Canis lupus familiaris: one gene and its partner. The protein of the gene in region 1 interacts with the protein of each later gene in a pairwise test. Links are inferred from orthologs where the notes say so. Each region holds a gene or a part of one and is shown on either strand. Other genes may lie near its edges.

Evidence for each region.
Region 2: the proteins of MAPK8IP3 (region 1) and KLC1 interact in binary tests that used the Homo sapiens proteins (3 or more experiments, as listed by UniProt). The link is inferred for Canis lupus familiaris from reciprocal best matches to the Homo sapiens genes MAPK8IP3 and KLC1.

The regions. Positions count from the first base shown.
Region 1 is NC_049227.1:39,595,261-39,598,760, forward strand, and holds part of MAPK8IP3 (C-Jun-amino-terminal kinase-interacting protein 3), read right to left. Parts: intron 3,123-3,500; exon of another isoform or gene 2,995-3,122; intron 2,969-2,994; exon of another isoform or gene 1,578-2,968; coding exon of another isoform or gene 1,539-1,577; intron 866-1,538; coding exon 619-865; intron 1-618.
Region 2 is NC_049229.1:71,780,242-71,784,332, forward strand, and holds the start of KLC1 (kinesin light chain 1), read left to right. Parts: upstream 1-1,291; 5' UTR 1,292-1,312; intron 1,313-1,646; coding exon of another isoform or gene 1,647-2,394; intron 2,395-4,091. Other genes in the region: basic proline-rich protein-like, read right to left, coding at 1,122-1,282, 1,647-2,394. UniProt on the Homo sapiens protein: Kinesin is a microtubule-associated force-producing protein that may play a role in organelle transport. The light chain may function in coupling of cargo to the heavy chain or in the modulation of its ATPase activity.

The sequences.
Region 1 (3,500 bases):
CATGCTGAAGCCGCAGCCCCTGGGACCCCAGCATGTGACCATGTTTGGAGATGAGGCTTTTACAGAGGTGTGGATAAAATACAGCCACATGGGTGGGCCCTGACCCCATCTGACTGTGTCCTTGTTAGAGGAACGGATGAGGACACACATGCAGAGGGACGAGCCGGTGAGGACACAGGGAGAGGCGGCAGTCTGGAGTGAGGCCTCTGGGGGCCCTAGCCCTGACGCCCTACTGCTCCCTTCTGGCCTGCAGGGCTGTGAGAAAGCATATCTCAGGTCTGAAGTGCCGGGCCTGTGATATGTGTTATGTCACGGCAGCCTGAGCTCACTGATACATCTAGCAGAACTAACACTGGTAGCTGGAAGGGAAACCTCCCTCGACAGCTTGATGGGGGGGGTCAGGGGATGGCAAGGGGTGGGACAGTGAGGGGGGGACAGCGGGGAGGGGCATGGACAGCAAGGAGTGGGCCAGAGGGGGGGGGCGGGCCAGCGGGAAGGAGAGGGCGGGGATGGGGGACAGCAGGGGTGTGGGAGAGGGGACAGCAGGGGGCCTGGACGGGGGAGGGGGTGCTGGGAGTGTCCAGCCCTGGGAGGCACGGCCGCCAGCCGCCGCAGCACCTATGCTGACGTTCCGCATCTCCTGCGTGACCTGGACCTCCATGTTGCGGCTGTTGCGCTTCTCCCGGGCCCGCTTGCTGCCCTTCGTGCCGGCACCATAGTCCCCCAGGGGCTGCAGGCTCTCGTTGAGCGGTGTGACGGCAGCCGAGGGCACGGAGGACGTGGGTGTGTTGGACTTGGTGCCGGTGGTGCTGGGTGTGGCAGCCGCCGAGGACTGGCCGGACTCGGACATCTCGTCCTGTGGACACTAGGGCCAAACAGGGAAGGGAGAAGCTCGCCATGTGGGTCAGCATGTCCCCAGGCTCCCGGTGAGGCGGGCACAGCCTGCAGGGTCAGCGGGGTCCCAGGCCACCTTCTAGAGGCCCCCTGGCTTGGCCTCTCTGGCCGGGGTCAAAGGCTGAGGGCACAGGAGGCCCCCTGCCCTCCTGTCCGCCAAGTCCTCTGGCCTAGTCCCTTGGTTCACCCAGCCGCTGCCACCTTATCTAAATGGCTTGGATGGGGCCTTTTAGCTGGCACTCCCCAGGACAGCCCACTGATGCCGCGTGTGATGGACATGAAGCTACATGAACATGGCAAGCAACCCTTTGCAGCCAGGGGGTGGTCAAAAACAAGTTGCAGCCCAGGGCAGGGCAGGGAACTCTAGATGGGGACCAGGGAGGAGGCCGAGCACGCTCTCTGATCAAGCTGTCGGGGCGGCAGCCCAGCCACTCCTGTCTCGGGTTCCCTGCACTAGGATGAGAAGGGGCTGGAAAGGGGCACCCACCTCCCAGAGACACCAGGTCCCCTCGGCTCAACTGGAACTCAAGGTCTACGTATCTATGTAAATGCAATCAACCTATAACCCCACTTCCAGACAATGGGTCACCCTTAAAACATTCCAAGAGAGACCAGCTCATTGAAAACTGCAATCAACTGTTGACCTTAAGAATCTCCCTGGAGGGGCGCCTGGTTGGCTCCATCGGTGGAGCATGTGACTCTTGATCTCGGGGTAGTAAGTTCGAGCCCCACGCTGGGTGTGCAAATTACTTAAAATAAAATAAATAAAAATTTTTTACAAACAAAAAAAACAAAAACCAGAATCTCCCTGGAGAGAACACACTGTACGTGAGTACCGCACGGGAAACGAAGCCACCCTCATCCACAGTCCCTCCTCATGAAACCATCCGACAGTATCTGGGAATTGGCCCACTTGTCTACTAACACTGATGACCCTGACTCACCCCAATGCCGTCCTCAGTGGGCAGCACCCCCCTCAGACCTTGCTACCCTCTAGGGGGTGGAGAAGGGGCGCGGCTTCCCAAGCGGCTACGGCTCGCATGCCCCAGTGGCCGTGGCCATGGCTGTGGCCGACAGCACTGGGCCACGTGTTTCTGCAGAAGGGGAGCTTCTGGGAGTGCTTTCTCGCAGGGGAGGAGCTGATGGCAGGGGGCCTGTCCGTAAAGCTGGATGCACACTGGGACCGACCTACACCCCTTTCACCTAGGGAGGGTGACCAGGCTCCCATGGCTGCCGCCAGGTGCCCAGGAGGCAGAGCTGGTTGGGCATCCCTGAGACCTGCCTTTTCCTGATCGTGTGGTGTCAGGCCAGGGCCTGGGACAGAGATGTCTGGTTTCATCTAACAGGCTCCTGACACCTCTCTGCCAGGACTCTCACTATTCCACATCCTCCTCTAGGCAGGGGCTCTCACCCAGGCCCACCATGTCCTCAGGGGATGCTTGGTGATGTCTGGGAACATCTGTGGCTATCATGCCTAGGGACAGGTGGGTGCTCCTGGTGTCCAGTGGGTGGAGGCGGACCACTACCCTGCAGGCCCCAGGATGGCCCAGACCATTGATGTGCCAAGGCGCTATGCCCCGTGCAACAGCCTGTGCCTCTCTCTCCCTAGAAGCACCCCGGTACAAGCATTTTCTATTTGGGTTCTACAGCTTAAGGCCAATTAGAGAAGGAAAAATCCTTTCCTGAGAGCCTCTGTGATGGAGCTGCCCCAGCAGTCTGTCTGCCCCACACGGCAGAGGCTTCTGGGCGTCCCACAGGTAAGGGCCCTCTGCTGCCACCCAGCCCGGGCCAGCACTCAAGGAGACATGGCCCCAGGAGTCCAGAGGCACGGGGAAGTCTGGTGGGGGCTGGGGGAGGCCAGGTACAGGAGTGCATGCCTTTCAGAGCCACATGTTTCCCGGAACACCTTCCTCAGGGCCACGGTCCCCGGCTGGTCCGTGCCCGGCAAGCTCAGGTCTGTGGGTTTGCAGTGGGCCTCCTTGACCCTGGAAGTCACCGAAAGGAACCGTGCAGCGTGGCCAGGCCTCCCCCAGTACCTGGCTCTCCCTGACCCTACAGGCCGCCACCTACCCATGGGACACTCCCCTGGCCACCACTTACCTAGCAGCAAACCTCTCAACCTCCTAAACACCAACGTGTGGCAGTGACCTCCAAATGCAAAGAACCCAAACTCTTAGCGGTCATTCCTCACCATGAGTAGCCACAACTGTTTGGTTAAAACACTGAAAATACAGCACATAAAAACAAAAAACAAAACAAAAAACAACAAAAAAATTAAGAAATTAGAAAAACCTTAAAACCTAGAGCACGAAATAAAAAGAACTTAAACGTAATTTTAAAAAAATCAAATCAAATACACCTACAAACTGAAACATACAACAGTGGGATGAAAACCCAGGCTACTTCAGATGACGCGGCAGGAGAAAGAAGAGACAGGCGGGAAGAAAGCTGGCTCGGCCGCAGGCAGGCCTCTTTGGCCGCTGCAGATGACCCCACAGGCCCCTGCCCTTCTGCCCGGCTCCCCACACAGACAGGGCAGTCCATAATGGGGACGAAGGGTAAGCGCCTAGGTCAGAGGTTGCAGACACATGCTCCCTGTCTGGGAC
Region 2 (4,091 bases), on another chromosome or scaffold:
GGGGCATGATCCCAGAGTCCCAGGATCGAGTCCCACATAATAAAGCCTAAACGGAGTGGCAGCAGTGGGGATGGAGAGGGATGGACTACAGCAGTAGGAAGGATTTAAGATCTTGGCTGCTCATTAGAAGAGGACATTAAGCATCTCAGGTCCTCCCTGGGCGAGTGGAGGGAACAATCACTGCACCCAGAGTTGCAGGCCTCACTCAGCCCACTCCTCTCGTCTCTAGAGCATGTTGGTTACAAATGTGTGCCCAGCCCCTAGGTGCCTGTTGAGGAGTAGGTGACATCCAAGCAGCAGTGTGGCCAAATCATTAAGGGAAAGGTGGTTTGATTCACTGCTTCTCCCTCCCCCTTTTTTAGCTGACTCTTTGCATTTATATGAAAGTAAAGTAGGGGATCCTTGGGTGGCTCAGTGGTTTAGCGTCTAACTTCAGCCCAGGGTGTAATCCTGGAGTCCTGGGATCAAGTCCCACATCGGTGGAGCCTGCTTCTCCCTCTGCCTGTGTCTCTGCCTCTCTCTCTGTCTCTTATGAATAAATAAATAAAATCTTAAAAAAAAAAAAACAGTAAAGTAATTGAGGGCACCTGCATGGCTCAGTCGTTAGGCATCTGCCTTCAGCTCAGGTCATGATCCCCGGTCCTGGGATCAAGCCCCCTATTGGGCTCCTTGCTTGGCAGGGAGCCTGCTTCTCCCTCACCCTCTGCTGCTCCCCCTGCTTGTGCTCTCTGTCAAATAAGTAATAATAATTAAAAAAAAAAAAAAAGTAATTGGATCTCCCTGTGAAAATCGAGGAGCATTTACTCCCCCACTGGCTGTGTAATTCTAGGGTTAAACCGGCTGTTGGTGCTGGGTTGATCTATCTGAAGAGCTGAGCAGTTCAAAAGCAGATGGGGGGGTGGTGGTGGAGGGACGCCTCCTGGTCACTAGTGCCCCAGGGCCCGGCTCTTGGGATGTCTGCAGGCTCCAGGTGGTGGGGGTGGGGGGTCCTCCCGAGCCGGTGGCAGGCAGAGAAAGCTGAGCATTGCCCCCTGAATCAGCATGCGTCCTCCTGCTGGCTGCTGAGTCAGGCCTGCAGAGCTGGCGGTGCAGCAGGCTGAGGCCCAGGAGCGCGCTCTGACCTGGAAGTACTGCCCTTCAGGCGGGGGCTGGAGGTCGTGGCACGGCTGCCGCGGGGGAGGGGGTGCGTGCGGCCGCGGGGATGGCATCTCCCTGCCCAGCCTGGCGGTGCAGTTCCGAGCGAGGCCTGCAAAGTCCCGCTGAGCTCGGATTCTTGAGGACCCTGGGGCGAGGGCGTAACGGGGCGGGGAAGGTCAGGGTCGCGATCAAAGACTAGGTGTCCCCGGAGAAGGCCCGGGGCCTGCTGCGTGGCCTCGCCCCTCGGCCGCGCCGTGGACAGGCTGCTCACAGCCCTCCTGGCGGCTTCCAGGGAGACGGCGACGCGCGCCGGAGACGCGCGGGGCCGGGGCTCGGCGCGCCGAGAGGCGGGCGAGCAGGCGCGCGGGGCCGGCGCGGGGTCCCAGGCGGCCGCGCCCCGCCCCAGCGCCCCCTCCCGCACGCCCGCGAGCCTCCTCTCCGCGCCGGGCCTCAGTTTCCCGGCCGCGCCCCGCCGCGCCCCGCCCCCCGGCGGCGGGCGGTGACGTCACGGCCGCGCGGGGCATTGTGGGGCGGGAGCCCCGAGCCGGGGGAGGGACGCCGAGACGCCATTTTCGGCGGCGGGCGCGGCGGAGCCGGAGCAGAGCAGGAGCCGACGGGCGCGGGGCGGCGGCTGCAGGGAGGAGCCGCGGGGGACAGCGCTCGCGGGCGGCCGAGGATGCTGCGGGGCGGCCGCGCCGGCGCCCCTCGCTCGTGACCGCGGCGCCGCGCCTGAGGCATCGAGGCAGCGGGCCCCGCGCAGCCCGGCTCCGCGCACGCGCCCGCGCCCGCGCCCTCCCGGTGCTGACAGCGAGCGCGCGGCCCCGCGGGAGCAGCACGGTGAGCGGCCGGCCGTCCCCCGCCGCGGCACCCCAACGGGCACTTGTGGCGCCCCCTCGTCGGGCCCTTGGCGCCGCGCCCCCGCCCCGCATCCCCGGCGGCGCCCCGCGGTCGGTCCCCTCCGCGCGTCCCCGGGCTGCGCTGCGCTGCGGGGGGGGGGGGGCGGCTCGCGGAACAGCTGCGGACCCCGAGCGGCGGGGGGGGGGGCGCTCCCGGGAACGCGGCGGGGGGGCGGCCGGCCGGGCTTTGTCCGAATCCTCCCTCTTCCTTCCGGCCCCTGCCCTCTCCCGCGGCACCGCCCTGGGCGGCCGCGCCTGTCGTGCTCGGGGGCGGCGGCTGCCGGGGCCCCCCGGGAGGCCGGCCCCGCGGCGCCTGCTCGGCCGCCCCTGCCCCTGGACCGCGGGACGCGAGCCCGCTCATCCTCCGCGTCCACCTGCGCTGGCGTCGCTCCTGCTCCCAAACTTGAAGCCGCCCCGACGCGGTTGTCAAATGCGGTGCCCTCTCGACCCCCCAAGACCTTTAAACGCCTTGAAACTGTAGTAGTAGTGCCTGGCGGATTGGGTGGTTTTACAGCGTAAGGTGTGCAGATCCAGGTGGTGGGTTGTTTTTTTTTTTTTTTAATTATTATTTTTTGTGCTAGAATTGTTGCTTATTGTTTCATTATTTAAACAACACATTAACAATTTACGGTAGGCGTTTCATAAGGAGTCCTTGCAAAAAAACGTTTCTAAAGTGTGAGGACAGGGACACCTGGGGGGGGGCTCAGTGGTTGAGCATCTGCTTTCAGCTCGGGGCGTGACCCCGGGATCCTGGGATTGGCACCGCGTCGGGCTCCCTGCGTGGAGCCTGCTTCTCCCTCTGCCTGTGTCTCAGCCCCTCTCTCTCTCTCTGTGTGTCTCATGAATTAAAAAAAAAAAAAAAGTGAGGACAACAGAAAATTTGAGGTTCGCTATTTAAACTGGTATATTGAAGGGCGGTTCTTTGATTCTTTGCGTTAGTTAAATTTTAAGGCTTTTTTAGATACAGCATGACTAAGCTATTGATCAGAGTCGTTAAGCTCAAAATACATGGAAGTAGTTGAGTCAAAAACCCATTAGGAAATTGGGACGATGTTCTTAAGTCTCATCATCTTGTTACCTGTTCTGGATTGGCCTCTTTTAGGGATTGGCAACAGGCCTTAGCGAAGGTGGGAAATTTGATTCATTGTTCTGTTTCCTAAGCATCTGTAGGAATACAAATGATACTAAATATTAAAAACTTCAGATAGTGGGGGAACTGCATGTGGGAAGCTCGGCACTCCTAAGAGCCAGTTTCCCCAAGTCATCAGAGAATGCAACATCATGTTGCAGTGGAGTCTGGCAGCCCTGTGGTGTTACTGAGGGGGGTGGAGGACCCAGGGTGGTAACTTGTCTGTGACCTGGCTCGTGCACTTTGCTTCGTACTACCTTCTAAAAACACTAGACGATGCAAATAAAGGTAGAAAGACCTGCATGGGAGTCAGGACACTACTGCTAGGAAGGATGAGAGAAAATACCACTGGGGAGGAGCACATAGTATCTTAAGTATTTATTTTTTTTCTCTTAAGTACTTTAAAATGAAAACTTAACTGTAGTTACTTAAATTATATATTTAAAAATGATGAATTCTCATTCATTCATTCATGCATGCATGAGAGACACAGAGAAGCAGAGACATAGGCAGAGGGGGAAGCAGGCTCCCCCCAGGACCCTGGGATCACACCCTGAGCCAGAGATGCTCAACCGCTGAGCCACCCAGGTGCCCCGCACCCCTGCCAAATTATATATCGTTAAGCATATTTCGTAATGTTGAAGATAAGCCAGTGTGTAGCTTTCCATATGGGAATATAAACACCAAAGATTGGTTAATTTGTAGGATTCATGTAACATGGAAACATAAGTGGAATATGATAAGAAACCAGAACTTTATGTAACAAAGAAGTGATCAGTAATATCCTAAACTGAAGTACAGGCAGGTTTTACATGTCAAATTTCAGGGCATAGAATAAAAATGATTAGCATATTAAATGGTGAAAGCATGACCTTAAATGTCTATCTAGAACCAACTGAATGACAGGTGCTGTGCTAAGTTGTTGGGAA